3 linked regions of the Coturnix japonica genome follow. The protein of the gene in region 1 purifies or fractionates together with the protein of each later gene. This does not show direct contact. Links are inferred from orthologs where the notes say so. Each region holds a gene or a part of one and is shown on either strand. Other genes may lie near its edges. The genes, in order: ZBTB18, CTBP1 and FBXL17.

Evidence for each region.
Region 2: the proteins of ZBTB18 (region 1) and CTBP1 purify together in Homo sapiens (affinity purification with mass spectrometry; 3 studies listed by BioGRID and IntAct, counting the BioPlex papers as one, with this or other methods). This does not show direct contact. The link is inferred for Coturnix japonica from reciprocal best matches to the Homo sapiens genes ZBTB18 and CTBP1.
Region 3: the proteins of ZBTB18 (region 1) and FBXL17 purify together in Homo sapiens (co-immunoprecipitation; 3 studies listed by BioGRID and IntAct, with this or other methods). This does not show direct contact. The link is inferred for Coturnix japonica from reciprocal best matches to the Homo sapiens genes ZBTB18 and FBXL17.

Annotation. Positions count from the first base shown.
Region 1 is NC_029518.1:31,392,564-31,400,165, forward strand, and holds the start of ZBTB18 (zinc finger and BTB domain-containing protein 18), read right to left. Parts: upstream 4,995-7,602; 5' UTR 4,517-4,994; coding exon 4,504-4,516; intron 2,353-4,503; coding exon 770-2,352; 3' UTR 1-769.
Region 2 is NC_029519.1:76,830,705-76,837,806, reverse strand, and holds part of CTBP1 (C-terminal-binding protein 1), read right to left. Parts: intron 4,102-7,102; coding exon 3,971-4,101; intron 1,836-3,970; coding exon 1,708-1,835; intron 1-1,707. UniProt on the Homo sapiens protein: Corepressor targeting diverse transcription regulators such as GLIS2 or BCL6. Has dehydrogenase activity. Involved in controlling the equilibrium between tubular and stacked structures in the Golgi complex.
Region 3 is NC_029547.1:42,665,351-42,671,733, reverse strand, and holds the end of FBXL17 (F-box/LRR-repeat protein 17), read right to left. Parts: intron 2,675-6,383; coding exon 2,537-2,674; 3' UTR 2,229-2,536; downstream 1-2,228. UniProt on the Homo sapiens protein: Substrate-recognition component of the SCF(FBXL17) E3 ubiquitin ligase complex, a key component of a quality control pathway required to ensure functional dimerization of BTB domain-containing proteins (dimerization quality control, DQC).

The sequences.
Region 1 (7,602 bases):
CTGCAATATCCTTTTTCATCCCAAGCAAACCTTCACATAAGACAGAGTCCCAGTGATCCCAGTGTACTCTCAGGGTTTTTGTTTTGTGGTTTTTGTTGTTGGTTGGTTGTTTTTTTTTTGCTTTTTTTTTTTTTGTTGGTTTTTTTTTGTTTGTTTTGTTGATTTTTTTGTTGTTTTTTTTTTTGTGTTTTTATTTTATTTTTATTTTTTCCAGTGGGAACTGTCAGAAATCCAGAAGTTGCCATAATAAGTTTTAAGTCAACCGCTTGTTTAAAAATAGATAATCCAGCATTTCAGAAATTTTCCATTTGGGTCTAAAAGCATTCAGGTTTCCAACAGCTAGAAAGGACTCATGCAATTAGAAAATAATGAAAAAAAATAAATGTAAAGGATCTGATACAATTGGGGATAGGATTTCTACATTCAGATTTTGAAAGGAAAATTATCTAGAGCTCAAAATAACGCAGCGTTTTGGGGAGAACAAAGCCATGTCAACATTTTCAAATTGGAGATTCTTTAAAATTAAAGTATCTGCTGGCTTCTAGTCCAAAAAAGGGGGGAAAAAAATACGCTCCGATGCTTATTACTTCACCACGTTACCTCTAAAGTTCCGTTTTATCAGAGTGCTAAATTAGTGAAATATTCATGCTGCCTTAAAGTGCAAAAACAAGCTAATAGCCAAACTTTCAGTTCAAGGAAACAAGATTGCTTTTAGACTGTACCACAACTATATAGATTTATATATATATTATTTATATATATAAAAATTTTATTTCCAAAGTTCTTGTGAGCTATCTTCTAAGGTCCAGTCTCTGACAGTAGGTAAGCTCAGTGCTTCGCTTTTGACAGACAATGAGTTCACTAACTCACAGTGAAACTTCCGAATGTGTCTGTAAAGGTCTCCGGACTGCGTGAACCTGCGCTCACACCACTTACAAGCGTGTGGCTTCTCCCGCGTGTGAACCACTGCGTGGCGGCTCAGGTTGTGGGAGTACTGGAAGCTCTTCCCACACTGGGTGCAAGTGTAGGGCTTTTCACCTGAATGAGTCCTCTCATGACGTTTCAAGGTGTACATGCAAGAAAAAGTCTTACCACACAGTGAGCAGGTGGGGACATTGACATCGGTAGCAGGCTTGCTGCGGATCCCGTCCTGCTCTCGAAAGTGCGTGCTTAAATGGATCTGCAGAATGTGGGGACTAGGAAAGACTTTGTTGCACAGAGGACACATAAAAATTTGGCCAGCGGGGCTAAGTATGTTTGACACGTAAGGGAGCAAGCTGCTGTCCATGTTTCCTTCCACCTGGACTCGCTCGTTCTCTGGAGTTATCATTTCGTCATCACTTGCCTTGTCCTCTCTATCTAGCTCCCTCAAGACTGAATCTTCCCTCATCGGAGCCAGATGGGCCGGCTCGTACGGTACCCTGTTATTAGTGCTCACACTTTCTTTCACAGTGCTATGTTCCATATCATAGTCATTAGTGCCAACATCACTCTCATCACAGGAAGCCTCTTTCTCCACCTTCACCTGAACCAGGCTGCTTCTAAGCATGTCCTGCGAAGAGAAATAAGAACTGTTCAAATTTTCAACTCCTGAAAGGCTGGACTTGACAGACAGGTCCAGCACGCAGTCAACATCTGCTGAATCCCTCACGGAGGTGACAGACCTCTGGGACAAAGACTCTGTTGAACTGCAGGGGCTGGCTACTGTTTTTCCAGCTGCTGTTGCGTGTGTCTCTGCCTCTCCGCCAGTCTGGGGAATGCCTGCTGAGTCTGAGGGCAATCTCATCCACATGTTCCCAGGCTCGGCCGCCAAGTCTCTTTTGCTAGGCAGGATGTTCAATTTTTCATCTTCTCCTTCGTCTTCATCACTGGGCAAGTCTCCTGGCATGTGGCTGCTGCCGTCGGAGAGGCTTTCCACTTTGTCTGAACAACTTGAGGCGTCTTCCTCTTTTTTTGTACTGTCTGCCTCCGTGGTTGCTTTCTCTTTCAGCTTCTTTTTGCAGACTTTGACAATGTCATACATGTGGAGATAACTGGCAGCTGCTAGCACGTCTTCAATGGGCAAGTCTTTGAACTGGAGTTTTCCTTCGTACATGAATTCAAGCAGGAGAGCGAAAGCTGGGGCTGTAACAATGTCGCTGTTCAGATGAACAATGTCTCTTTTGTCCAGCTGGTCCTTGTAAAAGAGGTGGAAATACATGCTGCATGAAGCCAGTACAGCTCTGTGCGCTCGGAACTGGGCATCTCCTACCAGAACAGTGCAATCACAAAGAAAACCCTGATGTCTCTGCTCGCTCAGACACTGTAGCAAATGTCTACTGTGGTCAGGAAACTCCATGCTGTCTTCATAACCTATAAAGTAATAAGATTTTTCAAAATTACACGCGGATTCAGAACAACAGAACTTATGAGCCCAAGTTATTCCACTCTGAAAGCCCAGCGTTTCTACTGCCAGAATCCTGACACCGCCACTACGCGAGGATTATTTAACGCGTACACACAATGGCCTCTCTTTCCCCAATCAACCACTGAAGTTCTGCTTTCCCCTCGCCCCTAAGTAAGCCATTCTAATAAGCGCTTAGCTACATTTCTACCACCACTGTTCACAAAATCTGTTCAACAGTTATTTTCTTCTTTCTCAAGGACCTTCCTCCAGATTGCGACCCTAGCAGAACTGGAAAAAAAAAAAAAAAGTATTTTCTTTTTCAAACACTAAGTTTGAGAGATCGCAGAGGGAAAAGATAATAGCAATATTAATAATAAAACAAAACAGATGATCGACATCCTTTTTAAAGCTAACCTGTAATAACAGGAGAGTTTTGTGCATGAAGAAATGCTAACTGCCCAAACCTAAAGGTCTAGCATTCATAAGGAATAGGAACTGACAGGAGTAAAGAATTTTTACTTGAGAGGAATACCAAGCTTTTTTAGAAACCTAGCCTGCACTGCCTTCTCCTCCTGGTAGGTATAGTTTCAGGTTTGGAACATTCTCCACACTGTACATGAGAAAACAAGATGCTTTTTTGCTAAGGTGCAGAATTTGCAAAAGGAAAAGAAAACTGTCAGCTAAAATGCCATTGAGCACTGCTTCCCCTGTGCAGAAGGACAGAAATTTCCCTCCCCTCCCACACCACAGAGTTTGCAGTACCAAACTTAAAAAAAAAAAAAAAAAAAAGCCATTCAACGTGAGCGTGTGTGCACACTTAAAATGAGTATCCTGAGTGCTGTGCTTACCCAAGTCTTTTTTCTATTCACCCTCTCTGATGATACAAAAAAACAAAAAACAAAACAAAACAAAAGAACACACAAAAAAAATCAAGCAACTAAACTTCAGAGAAGTAGAGAAGTCAGAATTCAAACAGAAAGTAAAATCTCCTAAAACCCCTGTCTCAACCTATTCTTCTGTGACTGCTGGCAATGCTCTTCCAAACCATCCAAACAGACCGTGGCTCTCTGGGCTGGCAGATATTGCTGAAAAATGCCCATCCCCGGCAAAGCGAGATGTGCTGAAACTCACAGCACAACCCTGGCTATATTCTGTAAAATACCACCGCTAGAGTAAAGCACGAAGATTTACAATACAATCACTTTAAGTGCCCCACAGCCAACATCAATCCTAATCCTTAAGAGGGCTAAAAATAAAGATTGGAGGGCAGCTCACAAGGTAGCTGTGATCAAATTAGGAGGCTGAAAGGACAGAGAGGGACGAAGAAGGAAGCTTATAAACATCTGATCCAGCTGACTGTGGCCATATGGCAGCTGCTGCCCAGATAAAGAGATTAAGAATAGAGGAGTGCGATTACAGCTGTCTGGCCAATTCAGGCAGCTCAAATCTACAAGTTCTAAATTAGTCGCAAATACAAAAACTCCTTCAAATAATTATTGTTATGCAGGAATAAAAGATTGCAAATGCTACAGGCGAGAAAGAAAAGACGAAACCAGTCAGGCTATTCTCCCAGGTACAAAAGTTTCTAAACACATAAGTGATTTCTATCTTTCAAAAGCACTCCAGCTGTATGCTCCCACAGTTCCGGGCTGCTGGCTATTTAACCACCAAGCACAGTGAGAGCCTTCACAACAAACACGGTTCAGCCAGAACGGTTCTTTTTAAAAGCACGCTCGTGTCTATTTCACCAAAAATCCCCATCAAGTCAACCTAAAGATGCAGCACAAAAGCATAAAGCAGGACTCTCGTTAGCTCGCCTCCGAATGCATTTCAGTTTTGGTCTCAGAAATTGAGAACAAAGTTGCTCTCATCACATCCTAAAGCCAGAAATTTTCTTCTCACGATACGCATTAAAGTTAATTCTATCCATGTGCATCAAACCGATACTCTCAAACTGCAGCCCCAGCCTTTTTGACCAAGTCCACTTATCTGCTTAATACTCAATTTCATATATTACCTCCAAACTTGGTTAGAAAAGTAATGTGATTTTTCCTGAAATTCAATAAACAACACACCAAAACAGAAAGATGCTGTATCTAATCTATTGCTACTCCTACCTTTAGTACACATAAACCTGATTAAGTCCTTTCCTCTGAGTCTCGCTGGCTCCAGGTCTGTTAGATCGGTGGAAAAAAAGCAGACTGGGAGAGACAGATGCAAAGTGGAGATGATGTTAGAGAGGAATGAGATACCTTCTCCACACACAGATCTGCACACACTAACTCCCTGTCTGTGTGTTAGAATAAAAGGCTGAGGGATGGCAGGCTGTCAGCTGCTCTGACATCATGTTCAGATGGAAATGCTACCTCCAGCTGTGCTCCTTTTAATGCCATATGCTACTCCTCTACACTCCTGCCACCAGCTTTTTCTTAGGAGAACTTTTCTCTTCTGTTAGTATAAACAAAATACTTCAAAGTCTCTCTTTTTTTTTTTTTCCCCAAACTTTCGAACAGGGGGGAAGAAAAAAATAAAAAATAAATAAAGAAGAAAATCCTCAACATATGGGGCTCCGCCGCGCTCGCGGCACACCGACACTTCTGCCTCAACTTGGAGGGCTGCTCCGCCCGCCGACAGCGCGCACAGCCCCGGCTCGCCGACCCCGCACCGCTCCGCGGAACCGCCGCTCCGCGCTGCCGGCCCCGGTGCCGTGCCCGCGCCGCCGCCTCCCCTCCCGTCCCCTCCCGGTTCGCGCCCCTTGCCGCCGGCCCCGGCCCTCCCCGCAACTTCCCGGGACCGCGGGCGCGACCCCGCGTGCCGTGCCCCGCATCCCGGTCGGGCGGCGGCAACTTTTGGCCGCGAGCGCCGCCGCCCCCCGCGGCGCGGGGCCCGACCCGCCGGCGGCCCCGCGGGCAGGAAGCGGCCGCCCGGCGCGCAGGAAAGCCGCCCCCGGGCCGACAAGGCAACAAAAGGAAAGTGACCGGCAGCGCCGCCGGCCCCGCCGCCCCCCGGGCCCCGCCCGCCCCGGCCCGGCGCCGCGCGGGGACGAGAGCGGGACTCACACTCGCGGCGGCCCGAAGTCCCCGCGCCGCCGCCGTCTCCCGTGGGCCGCTCCGCTCCGCTCCGCGCCGCTCCCCCGCCCGCGGGCCGCCGCCCCCCGAGCCCCCCCCCCTGCCGTCAGCTGAGGAGCGAGCGGGGCAGCCGGCGGCGCTCAGCGGGCCCCGCGCTCAGCGGCTCCCCATGGCACCGACGGCCGGAGGCGGCGCGGAGCCCGGGGCCGGCCGCGGGGGAGGGGCGGGGGGCGGGCGGGGGCCGGGCGCACGCGGCTCGGGCGCGCGGCGGCGGCGGCACAGCCGGGCCCGGCTGCGGCAGACAGATGTTCCCCTCCTCCCGCCCCGCTCCCCACTTCGGACTCCGCTCCCTGACTGACAGCGCGACCCGCCCGCGCCGCCGCCGCCGCCAACCGGCGCGGAGCCCCAACGATGAGTGACGGGCGGTGCCGGGCGCTGAGTGGAGGAGGGAGGCCCGGGAAGGCAGAGCGCTCCGCCAATCGGAACGCGCGGCGAGGCGAGGGGGCGTGAACCGGCGGGGAGCGGAGGCGGAAGGGGGCGGGGCCACACCGGGCCCGGGGAGGGGGCGGGGCCTCGCCTGAGGAGAGCGACGACGGGGCGGCGCCGTCCAGGGGGCGCGGTGCTCGCGGGAGGGAGTGAGAGGGTCCGGGCCTCGAGTGGGCTGTGGGGAGAGCGGGAGTGGGGGGCGGTGGAGCTGCCGTGTGTGCCTCGTGCACAGGGCGAGCCGGGCCGAGCCGAGCCGAGCCGAGCCGAGCCGAGCGGAGCTTGTCCCGCGTTGTCAGCCGTGAGGCAGTTCGCCCCGGGCTGGCCCCGCTCCGTGCCTCTGGCCGGGACACCTGTGCTGGGCTGGGGGCGTACGCTTCAAAATGGCGGCTGTGGGGGTGCGTCCCCGAGGGCTGCCCTCATCAGAACCTGCCTTTGCACCATCGGTGCCAGCCTGGTGTGGGCAGCTGAGCAGGGCCCTCAGAAGGACGCTCCTGGAGTCACCCAAAAGCTGTTCATGACAGAGAGTGGTGGTTGTGCACTTGCTCACCTCTAGCGAAGGATTACCCTGGAGGCTTGTTCACCTCCATTAAAAGATCACTGACATCTCGGCTGCTGTATGTTGCGTGTAACTTCAGTGCCTCCTCTCAAGGCAGCATTGCCTTCATTGAGGCTGTGCTGGGGTGCCCTGAGCTAGAGGCTGGCAGTAGTTCCCCAGGGCTTAGCATGCTGTGTGAGGGAGGGCTGGGGGCAGTGGCTCTGGGGTAGGAGAGGGCAGTGGAGGCTGGGTTCCATCAGCAGAGGCCTTCCTTAGGAATAGATCCATCTAAGGAGATGGTATTTCCCCACCTGCCCTGCTGCTTAAGATATGAAGTTAGTGTGGGCGAGGTTTATGAAGAAATTAAGGATCACCAGCAGAGACAGAGCTAAAAGAAAAGAGGGTTGTGTGTTAATGTCCAAAATTGACTTAGTGGATACGAAAACGGAAGGCGTGTATGTCGTCTCTTTCAATATGAAACTACTATAAAGAAGTACACTGAATTCTAGCTGTGCCTAATTCATTTGACAGCACTGCTATGTATATCACACAGCAGCCAGCATCCGCATGTCCATATGCTTCAAGTATAACATATTAAAAAACCCACCAAACCTGCCAGTACGAAAGAAGATGCTTTTCTCTCTGTATTTTGGGAAACTAACCTCTAGTGCAGTCCTGGTGTGGGTGTTTAAAGTTATTATCTCAGGGTGTTTCAGTTCATCTTGGGTGGTGGTACAATTCCTTATATAAGATAGAGAGTTCTGTGCTGTTTTTTTTTCTGTTGATAACATGTTCCATATTAAATAATACTTTGAGCTCAGCGAGGTTTTGTCCTTGTGTTCAAGACACAGCAGTGAGATGCTGACTCCTCATGTTTCCCCGATCGTCTCCCGGTGCTAATAATCACATCATCTGGGACAGATCAGCACTCCGTTCCCTGCTGCCTGCCGTTCCTTGTGCATAGAATCTTAGAATCATAGAATTACTCAGGTTGGCAAAGACCTCAAAGATCATCAAGTCCAACCATAGCCTAACCATAGTGACCTAACTCTAACAGCCCTCGGCTAAATCACATCTTTCCTACAACTGCAAAGCTGCTTTTTCTTTAAACTGCAAAAAAACAAATT
Region 2 (7,102 bases), on another chromosome or scaffold:
TCCCTAAGATTCATGCTTCCCAAGAAGCTAAAACTTGAATACAGTCAGTCTTAGTTCAGCATAAGACAAGTTACATGCTCTGTTATGGGTTTTATCATGCATCTTCAGATGGTAGATGTAGTGTGCAATCATTTACTGCACAGCTTTTTCCAATCAGTTTCTCTCTTGACACCCTTTCCCCATTGTATTTCCTCATGTTATTCACATATTCAGCTTCACCCCACACTTCCTGTACTTGTTTCTCTGCAATTCATTGTCTTTCTCACCTCCCTAATGTTGGTCTTAGTTTGATCTTAGTACCCAACCATGTTCAAACACAGAAGTGATGACAGCTTCACTATAAATCAAGGATTTAGATCACCAATAGCACAATCACACACTTTAAGAAAACACAGGCCAGCCTTCTCAGGCACATATGTCTGGGCTACTGCACCATGTTTAACACAGAACTATCTTTGTGTAGCTGACTCCCGCTCAGTTTTCCTATCTTAGCCCATTAACGCTTATTTGCACATCAATCATCCTCCAAGCAGGTATGGTACGCTGGATTGTGCAATCTTTCCCAAAGCTTTTTGGAAGTATCTAAAGTTATACAACAACCTGATGAGTGCAGTGTTTGAGTACTTTAGGACTATAAGTACAAAGACTAATTACAGCAAAGGGATGACCAGATTCTTTAGGTTACCTCTCAGGGATAAATAGGCCTATGCAGGGCAATTTGGGTCAGGAGTTTCAGAGGTGCCTTTAATCACCATCCACAGAATCCTTTCTGCACAGACTATAAATGAAACAGAGTCATCAAGCCTCTCTAGACACAAGATACAGGACAGGCTACTGCCAGCACTTCTTTGTACAGCAGAGAAACGCACTGGCACTGAACCACTCTCAAGGTGACACAGACAACCCTCCATGTCTGCAGAGCATTCAGCCTATATTGCCAAGGGGAAAACAGCAAAGTCCTACTAAAGAGAGAACATTAGTGCTTAATGAATCATTTTCCAGCATGAAAATCCTGCCTTTTATTTCAGGCTACAAGGGATTCAAACTAAAGCCAAATGGCTTACTCTTCTCATTTTATTTATTAGCAGTGCATATTCAGGACATAACTATTTTTTTCTTCTGTGAATTAGTTCACAATTACATGGTAGTTATTCAACAAAGAGACTGCCCTTTAAAATGACAGACTTCCTCTGGAATGCTTTAAAAAGGGAAACATCTAAAAAGGAGCACCTACTAACAAATATAACAAAACTCAAGGTCAGACTGGAAGAGGCTCTGAGCACCTGAGTTGTAGGTGTCCCTATTCACTGCAGGGGAGTTGGACCAGATGGCCTTCAAGGGTCCCTTCCAACTCAAACGATTCTATGATATTACAATATCATCAATATCTGGATGGTTTATAGCCAAATTCATCACATGGCTGGTACTTACAAGAAACAGGAATGAAAAAGGGATTTTTCACACTGAAGTATGTTCCTGTTATATGGAAAAAACACTACTTTTTCACTTCTTGCCTACTCTTTGTAATTGCAATGATGATCCAACATGATCTGCTTGTGCTGAGAATAGACTCACTTGGTATTTACTGGTTCCCATGTTCCAAATATTAGAAGCAGTAAACAAAGACTAACTTTGGTTCTTTTCAGCATCTTTCAAGACTGTTAAAAGGAAACACAGAGTAAAGGAGATAATAAGGTGAGTCAGTACCTGTGATCGCCCTTCGGATCTCTCGCGCTGCTTCCTCCCGCATCTCAATTGAGGCTTGTTCACTGTACCAGGCTGCATGTGGGGTACAGATCAGGTTTGGTGCATCCTTCAAGGGACCCTGACTAAAGCTAAATGAAGATTTAAAACAAGATCAAATGACAAAACAAATTGGGGGTGGGGGAATAGGGAGATCCAGAGGGATTTGTACATACATTCTACTAAATTCTACAATAGAAAATAATTGCATTTGTATTCCTTGTTGGGCTTGTTTTTAACTCCATCACTGAATTTAATACACTATTCATGGTATTAATCACATCTCATAGACTCAAAGAGTAGAACTTAAGTAGCACTAGTAGCAACATTAGCTTCCGTTCAATGCACTTATTGTTAACTACAGCCACTGTCGTTCCAGTATTCATGCAGAAATGCATTAAGCAAGACCCAGATTAATTCAGGATGCCACTCTGTCCATCCATCACAGTTTTATTACATTAGCTAACAAAGCTTTCTCTCTCAAGAATCACTGTCTATCTGACACTTAGTCATTAAAAATAACGATTATTTGCACATTGATTATCGACATGAGCTTGTCAATCAGCATCCCCAACTTTTTGATGATTCATTTATTTTTTTTTCTATTATTTTAAACTACTTTTTCTTTCCTGTTTTGCATAGAAACTACACAGAAAGAACGAAATTTACTTGACGGATCGATTTTCAAGGAAAGCAATGAATCTACATAATATGCTTTCACAAATACAGAGTAAGAAAACTGAAAATAGTGGGAGCTTGCTCCTCCTACCTATTTTCAGTTTTAATAATCCTCCAGTCAAGTGCAACACCAGTAGAGCTCATATTTTAGACAAAAACGTGCTTTCAGAGTTGGTAATAATTCATAGAACTATAGATTTCATCAGCAGTTTAATAAACAACAGAATATCTGGCAAAGCTCTCAAATAAAGAGTTGCACGCTGCGATCAGATAGACATGCAGCACTGAAGCTGAAGGAAATTGTGGCTGTAATCCTGCAACTGAATCTCTGCAGATGGTATCTCCATGCAGTAAATGGGGCTTCCTATAGGTGCAAAGGTCTGCCTGTGCAGATCCAAGATCTGAACTGGGAAGAATATATATAAGCTGGAGGTCCCTTGAGCTGTTTAGATTTTAGCTTTGCACAGCACTACTGCATTGTAATGTCTACATTTACAAGTAAATGAATGCAGGGTATAAATAAAATGTATTTGTGATATTGCACTGTGTCTCAATAGATATTAAAATTCTACCTAAAAGGATACCATCACTACATTTTTAAAACTTCCAGTATCCCCTGCAAGCTGATACAAGAGAGTCTGTCCTCTCTCCATTCTTCACAACATGCCCTCAAGTCTTTAATCTGTTCCTGTTCAAAAACCTGTGTGGACGGTTCCTGTTAAAATTAATGCTTCTCCCTGCCCAGACTGAGCAAGTGGAAAAGGCTTGTCACATACAAGCACTAAGTTACTGCAGTCTTCTCATAATTCATAAGTCAGGCTCAAGACTCCAGGACAACAAGGCTTGTTTCTCATTAGCAGTGCTGGTACCACAACAGCAGTGCCACCCTGGGCCTATACCACTGGAGATGCTCAGCGGCATTCAGAAAACTAAGGCTAATGCTAGAGCTCTGCTCGTGGCAGAAGAGTTACTTCTCTAGTGCTGAAGAGAAACGGTAACAAATCCAAAGCTGAACTCTAACCACCTTCCTTATCTTTAATTTTTTGTAATCGGGCACGTTTGTGGCTTTCCTGCAGGGGGATTATGGACAGAAACTATGCCTTTTCCACCAGAGCAGCATCAAAGCAGTTGTTTCTCCCACCAAATCTCAACCCTTTGCCTTCTGAAAGACTGTTCAGACGTTAGTTGCCTCCAGTGTTCAGTCAGTGATGAAGCAACACTCCTCTCAAAGTCATGACACAAAGCCATGCCCAGCACTAGAACTTCAGTCTCTGACTGTACTAAATAAACATGTTGGATTTTTAATTCTTTTTTCTAAAGGCATTAAGTCTTGGATGAACTTTTTTTTCCCCACTTCCGACCACATACACAAGCTCCATCTACTTTTGCATTAGTCCAGTGCTGCACAGATTCATGTTGCTTTACTAAGGAGTATTAGGCTACCAAATGAAGGGAAAACTCATTTACTTGTTGCTGTTGATCGTATCATGCACTACGACTTAAAAATAAGAAAGTGAACAAAATAAAAAGAAAAGAAAAGGAAAAGCACCTGAATGGTTCTGACTCATGTACATCTAAGGCTGCCCCTCGTATCCTTCCTTCCTTCAGGGCCTGTGCAAGTGCTTTTTCGTCTACTAACCCACCTCGAGCTGTGTTGACCAGGAAAGCCCCTTGTCTCATCTAGGGAAAGTTAAAAAACAAGAATGATGAAATAAAAATAAATGAAATAAAATCGTTGTGGCATTATTTTTTTTTTACTCAAAAGAAGCATCCATTACAACAAAGGCTATTCAGCTGATTTAACCTGTAACAGTTGTCTTCCCTTTCCATTGGAAAGTACCACAAAATGTGATGCTTCTAACATGAAATGCTATTTCACAGCATTTAATAATCTTTTGTTTCTTTTAAGTAGTGTCTTTTCACAGAGGCGTTGTTTCACATATTGTGCAGTAACATGATCAAAAGATACGACTGTGCATATGAAACTGACAGATCATTTTATGCCTTTTCATTTCACTGTGAAATTGCATGAGACAGAAACTACCGAACATTCTTAAACAAATTCATACCTTGTGGTTTTAAACTTTCACACAAATAAAAGCCTGCATGAATTTTTCAGAAAAGAAATCAATGCTTTTGGATTTTCAAACACATTTCCCTTTAGCTGCCAAAACACAGTAGACCTATGTTTTATTTACTGTTGTTACTTCAGCTTTCTCCTCCTGGTAAGGCTTTTCAGATAAAGGTCTGAAGAATTCTTACATTATTCAATTAAAAGGCATGAAAATGAATTTGGTTGAGAATGCTGCGTGCTTAGGAGAGAAACTGTGCTGTGCATTGTGCAGATTAGCATTGCAGATGACACTATGAGGGGAGAACTACGAGTATTTACACCCCAGTATATCCACAACATGAAAACAAAGTGGAAGTTTAAATAAGAGAGATGGTAAGGAAAAGAAAAAAACTGACATCCTGCTTCCAGCCACCCTAATACTTCATCTTTTATCAGTCATCTCCAACACAGCTTCTGATCTCAGAAGCATTTCAAAGCATGAAGCTTGAGAAGAGCAGGAACCATGGTGAAGATCAGTGATAAAAAACCCGTTTTAAACTGGCTCCATCTCTCCCCATAAGAAGAAAAACCCAACATTTTGACACCACGTCGCCTACTTGAAGCCTACACAACAAACAAAGCTTACAACAATGGATCCACTCTCAGAAAGTGATTCAAAGGGCCAAATGCATGAACAACAAGGAGGTTTGGATGAAAGTCAGCTACAAGAATTACTATTATTTTATATTATTATTATTATTTATATTCAACAATTCACATGCTTACAGTAAAGTTGTAAGAAAGAAAACAGTTTTCTGGCCAGCTCACTAGCTTGAATCATCCCTGCCTCAGGCCATTTGAAGGGCTTACATTTATTGGACCGTATAGCAAAACCAAAGTCCATTTACTGTGGAATTAAGGGACACTTCTAGTCTCTGAATCTCCACTATGCAAGAGAAGTAGATTAGAACTAGCACAATAGGGCTCACCCAGGCAGCAATCACAGCCATGTCAAGTGGGCTTATGAGGGCTTATAGACTTCCTAGTTCTGTGTTCTTGCAAACGTAAGGGACAATTTGATGTTTAAGTATAGCCCAGTGCATTTATCCGTCCTTTGAAGAACTTGAAAACTTTCAGCAAATCTTACCAACATCTTCTGTCTGTCCATAATAAACCTTTTTTTTTTTTTTACCTTCAAGATTATTTGCAAAACTTTCAAGCTAGTACTAAGACAAGCCCAAATCAAACAGAACACAGACACATAAACGCATTCTAATGGAGAATAATTCTGTGAGTCGTGATGAACTACAAGGGTGGATGCAGCTGGAGATGACCCCATATAACGGGTGGAAGCTTGAAAGACTGCCACAGCACCGCTTACAGCTGTTAGCATTCACCTACATTAAACCTGCACAGCTGCTTTACAAGTGTATTCACACAACTGCAGAATCACCTTCTCACATCAGATTCTAAACGATTCAGGGTGGGACTTCACGAGGACTCACCATACGCCTCCACACTGTTTAAAAACTGGCTATCACATAAATGTGCAATGCTGAACAAAAGAGGAATGCAATGGGATCTAGAATTTTTTTAGGGCAACTCTAGCATCTGGCAGACTGAAAATGCTCTTCTGTTCTTGCCACTTGAAATTCAGAAGATCTGGTGTATGTAAGCGATCAATCATGAACAGAGGTATTAAGGTTTTCTGGTTTTCAGATATGGGTAACCTTCCCATCAGCTGCTACAAAACTGACTGCTTCATCCAAACTTTTACCCAAAGCAAAAATTGCCTTGTAACACTTAACACTTTCACTTTGCTCCTAAATAAAAGGATATCGAGATAAATACCTACAATATCCTTTCCAGTCCCGGTTTTATTGTATGCAATTCATTTCACATGGATCACTCACTGTTAAGCTGTTCTGTTTGCTTCTCTCGTTAATACACTGAGCACCCTCCAGAGCTCAGCCCATTTAAGCTCTGCTTAAAATCTCCCAGACTGATAGACTGGTTAAAGCTTCGGAGGCCACTGTATGAGTGACCATTGCTAAGTCTCAACATAGCCCCACTGTGCTAAGTCTCTACATAGCCCCACTGAACTCAGTGTGGTTTCATTTGGGTTCAAATTTCTGGACATCTGACCATATAAAAATGTTGTGTCTGCACACTCAACAAAGGAGAATGGCCAGAACAGGTGAGCTCAGTTCTCTTAGCAATCTGAATTCCATTATTTTTAAGTTTTAAACCCCAACCCCAGGTTTTACACCGGGATGGATCTGCAAAATCTCACAACTCTCTGATCAAGACGTACATTATATCATCAGATGTGTAGTGTGTTAATTGTTTTGGTTCACCTGAAGCTCAAGAGCAACAGGTATAAAGTATTTCTCAGACAAGAAGCAGGATTTTTTCTGCAAAAGAATGCTCCTGTCATTGTAACCAATACGTAGATAATACAGCACGTACAAGAAACATAAAAATACAGAAGCAATCACAACACTGTCAGAATTTCTTCCTGTATGCTATCTACAATCTAAAATCTCAGTGTTTTATTTCCTACTGTTACCTACACTGAGGCAAAATGTTTAATAGAAAAGCCTACAACTGAATTAGTTACTACACGCC
Region 3 (6,383 bases), on another chromosome or scaffold:
TGAGTGGAGCCCCACACGACAGGTTAAACAAGCCAAGAGGATGAAACCTCTCTGGGAGGAAGGGTGATGGCAAAAGTATAAATATGGGGAGGCATGGCAGATTGATTACATCACCTTGCCACGATCTCGCAGTGGTGTTATGTGCTTACCATGGTAGAGGAAACCACTGGGTGGCTTGAAACATATGCAGTACCCCATGCTACTGCCCGAAACACCATATTAGGGCTTGAGAAACAAGTCCTGTGGAGACATGGCACCCCAGAAAGAATTGAGTCTGATAATGGAACACATTTCAAAAATTCCCTTGTAAATACTTGGGCCAAAGATCATGGCATTGAGTGGATTTATCATATTCCCTACCATGCACCAGCTTCAGGTAAAATTGAATGATACAGTGGGTTGTTGAAAACTATGTTGAAAGCAAAGGGTGGTGGAACATTTAAGCACTGGGAGAAGCATTTGTCAGAAGCCACTTGGTTGGTCAGTACTAGAGGATCAGTCAGTTGTGATGGTCCTAGCCAATCCAGCCCCTGCATACTGTAGAGGGAGATAAGGTCCCTGTAGTACATGTAAAGAACATGTTGGGAAAAGCTGTTTGGGTCCTTCCAGCCTCTGGAAAGGGCAAACCTCTCTGTGGAACTGTTTTTGCCCAGAGATCTGGGTGCACTTGGTGGGTGATGCAGAAAGATGGGGATGTTCAGTGCGTACCACAAGGGAATTCGATGCTGGGGGAGTGCAGTTAGTAATTCCATGTATATATGTATATAGACCTGTGTGTGTAATGCATTTTAATTCTTGTTTATTTGTATATATATATATGTATTTTAAGCATGATGTAGTGATGTTGAATAATGGGTGGAATGTCATGGTTGTGTAATTTTTGCTATTGGTATTCCATATCATAACATCATGTGGAATACAGAGAAGAACTACATGTCTCAGAGGACCTCAAGGTCAGAGAGGGAAACACGTCACAAAGTGATGCTGGCTATTTCTCTCACTGCCTGGCAGTGGGTGTGGGTGTGTTTCCAAGCCATGGCGCCTTCAATTTCAAAGTAGGCTTCTCAGTCTTTGGAAACCTCTCTCTTTCTCTTATTTTACTTGATTTATTAGCCTCATTTTAAATCAGATTGTATTATATTGTTATCTTGTATTCCAATATCATAATTAGTAAAATAAGTTTTCCTCCTTAGATCGATGCTGCTGCTCTGTTTGTTTCCATGAGCCCAGCTCCCATCTCCCTACCCCTTTTTCCTTTTTCCCTTCCCATTTGTTGAGGGATGGGGGACCCACAGGCCTACTGCCCCCCTGTCATGGACATAGATTGATCTAGATAACTCCATGACAACTGTCCCTTAATTTATTTCTGATTGTTGGTGTATTCACTTCCTGCTTGACTGGTTATGTAGCGGGAACTGGTTGTGAGTATGAGTTCAACCACTGTTTACTCACTTACTGCAAAACCTGTAATGTGAAAAGATTTCTAAATCTGCAGAATATCTCCTAAACGACCATTTTAAACAAACAAAATAAAAGAAGACACAACTTCTGTGAAGTGATAAAGATGGAGGGAGTTGGACTTATTCAGCCTGCAGAAGAGAATGCTCTGGGGAGATGTTACAGCTGCCTTCCAGTATGTAAAGGGGACTGATGGGAAAGATGGGTACTCTGCATCAAAGTCAAAAGTCATGATAGGACTGAGGAGAATGATTTTAAAATGAAAGAGAGTGGATTTATATTAGATGTTAGGAAGAAATTATTTTCTTAGCAGGTGATGAGACACTGGGACAGGTTGCCCAGAAGCTGTGGATGCCTCATCCCTGAAAGTATTCAAGACCACATTAGAAGGGGTTTGAGCAACCTATTCGCAGGAGGGGGATTGGAATGAGATGATCTTTCAGGTTCCTTCCAACCCAAACTGTTCTAGGACTTGATGATTATATGATTGTCCATTAGATAGCTATTCAGTCATTATAATCGTTTACCGATGACTTGTGTAATTCCCCAAAAGTCTATAAGACAATCACAGATCTTTGTACTTTTTCTTATACGCTGCGCATCTTAAAACTCCTAGGGTAACTTTAGTAAATAATAAGCATGGAGTGTAGCTCCCAGTTTCAGCACAGGCATCTGCTGATCAGCTATACCGGTGCTAGCACTGAGTTACCATCTACAAATCAAAGGAAATACACACAACCAAGGCAAAGTAAACACACATAAAAAAAAAAGAGCTTTGTATCTTTTATAACCCACACTATCCATAGAACTATAGGAATCCACTTCAAGAAATCAGTCATTTATTTTATGCAAACAAAGAAATAGGATGCTTTTCTAAAATTTTGTCTCAATACCAGGACTTAGTTATACAGTACATCAAAGTCAGTATACAGCTTTTTTCCATTTTACTGTAACCTCTGTAAACTAACAATTATATTGCATTCATTGTATATATCACAATGAAAGGCTGTGAACCTGTGCAGTCCCCATTCGATCTACCGAAAGCAGCAGAGTGGAACTGTCATGTTGGTGCATGACGTTAAGGGGTAGTAGACATATTGGGAGTCCAGCCCATTTGATAAGCTCGTTCCAATGTCCTCTTGCAATCCTGTAGAACAGTACTAAAGGTTATATGTGGGTACTGCTGCACCAGCTGCTCTACTGTGGCTTCATTCACCTGCAATTGAAGAAAAGAATCCAAAATGTGAAAAAAGTGAACAAAAAGGGCAACGTTATTCAAACTAAATAAATAATCAAACTGGACTCCTGGAAGGACTAGCAGAATTGGGCTGTCTATTGACACAGTAGGCTTCATTTATCAAAAATATTCAGAATTTGATCCTCTTTTAGAGAAAAACACAAAACAAAAAATAACCCACAACAAACCTACATAATGAACAGCTCGACTCCATCTTAAAGGGAGAATTTTGATACAGCATTCTAGTACACACTGTTTGATTATTTTCAATTGAAAGTGAAAAAGCAAAGAAAGATGAAGCATCTCCATTTGTAAAAAGCTTAGTTAGAAAACTGCAACAGTGTTTAACAATATGCTGAACTATTTAAATTCCATACATAAACAAACTGGCCACTCCTACTGTACAAAACATAATTATTCATAGACAGGCAGTCTTCTTTAAGAGCACACTGCATATATTTCTTCCTTTGTCTTGAAATAGAAACACACTACTTTAACAATACTTAAGCAGACATGGGTTTGAAATTTCTCTTGGCTTTGGAAATGGAAATTGATTCAATTTTTTCAATTAATTTATGGTACATTTTTGTTACTTTTATACATGCTATGCAGGAATTAGCCCTGAAATTAAGTTCCACTGTATGGTGGCTTTCAACATGACCACAATGATAATTAAGAGATAATAACTAGAAGAGTAGAATGCAATCTGTTTTATATTGTAGGTATATAAATTGGTAATACAGGTTAATTTTTCCCAATGTTCCAGTACCTGCTTGTCTTCATGTACCTCCCAGTCAGAAATTTTTGTTTTAGTCTTTTGGTGTGAGGCTATCAATGAACAAAGGCTTTTGTGGGCAGAAATGAGGGGATCGATAATTAAAATATACTAGCTTGTTAGGTCAGGGATGTCCCTTCTAAATCTTAAACATCAAAGATAGCACCTTTTTTCTTGATTAGACAGGGCAGTCAGACAAGCCAAGCTAAATCTAACACCTTTACAATTGCAGCTCTGTGAAAGGATTAATTTGTCAATTATTTTTAAGCTGATTGCAGTTCATATCACAAAAGCAGACAGCTTCCTTCAGCCTTCAGATAAATGAAAGATTAACTGAAGAACCATAACTCCTATGCAGCTCTCTTTAAAATCCTTGCTAAAATACTTGGACAGTTTAAAATATGCCAGTGCTATATTTAAGCGCTGAATTGCCTAGATCAGTAGCATGTACAACAGATATCGTGACTTGCTTTCTCCCCACAGTGTCCCACAAAACCAAAAAAAAAAAAAAGAAAAGAAAAAAAGAAAAAAAAAAAAGTACTGAAATATTTACTATCCTTACAAAGATCCATCTTGTGAATAATATTTTAAAGCACAGTGACCACGATATCTAATAATACTTTTTGTCCTTAAAAGATAACAAGGAGTGCATCCTTCTAAGCAGTGATTGCTCACAATGACGGGGATAAATGAAAGGTTTAATATCCAGTTCTTCTACTTTCATAATAGAAACACTCAATCTTCATTGGAAGTTTCATCTAGCTGAGACTGACTTGGATAGAAAACCGGTTTAACTTCCTTTCATAGTACACACTGTACTCTTTTGGCAAATTACTACATAACAGTAACCTCTTCCAGTGCTGATAAACAAGAAGTGACTTTTAATAAATCAAAATGAAATCAGACATAGCACAAGTCCTCCAAAATATTTGATATTTATAGCTGAATACATACATACTTTCAAACTGTCAGCAGCACTTCACAGAAATATTGCTTGGAAGGGAAGAATTTCCGAAGCCATATTTGCTACTATTTGCCTATTCAAAAATAGTCCAAAAGCCTCTTTTCTTTACATTTGTGGTGCACAGCCATGGCAAAATCTATAACATTACAAGTAACTTCTCTTTGCGGTAAATCAGCCAGAATGAAGATACCCCTGCTACTCCTTCCTCATCGGAAACTTGGAGAAGAAATACCATCAATCCATTCAATATTTTAAAAATATTAACAGCAGATAGAGGCTATTATTCTTTGACACAAACCTGTTAGATGTTATTTGTTAGTACAGCATGGATATTATGGTTTGAGAGAGCAAATTGGTGCAATATTATAATCAGATTTTCTGTTATGGGAAACAAATAATACAAATTTGTTACAAAGAGGATGTTCAAATACAGGACAAGAGGCTGTGATCAGAGAAAGCCATACATCCTCCATACTTGGGGTTTTCTATCCAAAGACTGAACACATTTACAGAAGCAAAACTCCAGCTACATTAAAGTAACTGATTTACTGCAAGGCTAACTTAAGTGAAATAGCGTGGCCCAGAATAATAAGGAAGACAGATGATGTTACAGTAGTATCTTTTGGTCTTAAAATCTATGAAGAAATCTATGGTAAACCATTTAGTGCTAGCCATTGGTCATTTTATTTTTTTAAATAAATTACTGCAGTATAAATAATACATAATACAATTATTACTAATTACTACTTCTGATATCGAGTGACAAACACAGTTAAAAGTAAATATAAGCATGAGAGAACAGGCAAAACCACTGCAGAAGTGACTTTACAACAAGGTCAGATATTTTATGAACAAAACCTGAACAGTCGGGTTTCCCTGTTTTTGTTACAGTGTCATTTTAAATCTTTTGATCCCAGGCAACACTAAGTAGTACCAAACCATAATTTTGTCATCTGTTTTAGCTTAGATAGCGTTAATTTTCCTCAAAGAGGATGTATGGCACCGTGTTTTAGATTTTTGATGGAAACAGTGTTGAACACACACGAATGTTTTAGCTGTCATAGAGCAGTGCTGCCCAGAGCAAAGAAGGTTTCAGCTTATTGTGCTGTCTTGCCAGTGAGGGGCTGGGGATGCCTAAGGAGCTGGGAGGAGACAGAAGGGATATTCCACATCATGTGGTATCCTGCTCAGAAATAAAAGCTGAGGTAAAGAAGAGGGAAGGGGGAAAATGTGATGTTGTTTGTCTTCCCAAGAAATCATTACACATAATGAGTCCTGCTGGTGGGGAAGAGGCTGAACACCTGCCTGATGATGGAAAGTAGCAGAGTAATGTCTTGTTTTGACTTGCTTGCAGCATTGGCTTAACATAGTAGGTGTCCTTATCTCAACCCATAAATTCTTGCACTTGTACATGTCTGGTTCTTTCCCCTTCCCATTTGGGGTAAGCAAGTGAGAGGCTGTGTAGTAGTGAGATGCCTGCCAGGTTAAACCATAACGAAATCCTATGTATACACTTGAAAACATAACTGCCACAGAACGAAACTACCTGAAGTTTAAAAAACTGACTCTCATGATAGAAGAAGTTCTTCTCCCAAACTTCATCATAAATAATCAAATATACAAAGGCTGCCCTGAAAGTAACGTCTCCTGTTTTATTCTGTTGGCCCACAGCATCAGAGGCAGATGTTGGTGGTACAGCACTGGAGGCTGAACTCCAACAGTATTCCATTACATGTTGTTGCTGTGTGACAGATGGCAGCAGAGGGGCAGCCTAACAAAATGGCATCTGGTATGGAAATGTGTGTAAAGCAATTGTGTGTCATTGAGCTCCTCCTTGTGGAAAAAATGGCACCCACTGACATTCATCAACACTTGCTGAACATTTATGGAGCCAAACAGTGAATATGAGTGCAGTGAGTTGGTGGGTGGTGTGTTTCAGCAGTGACAGT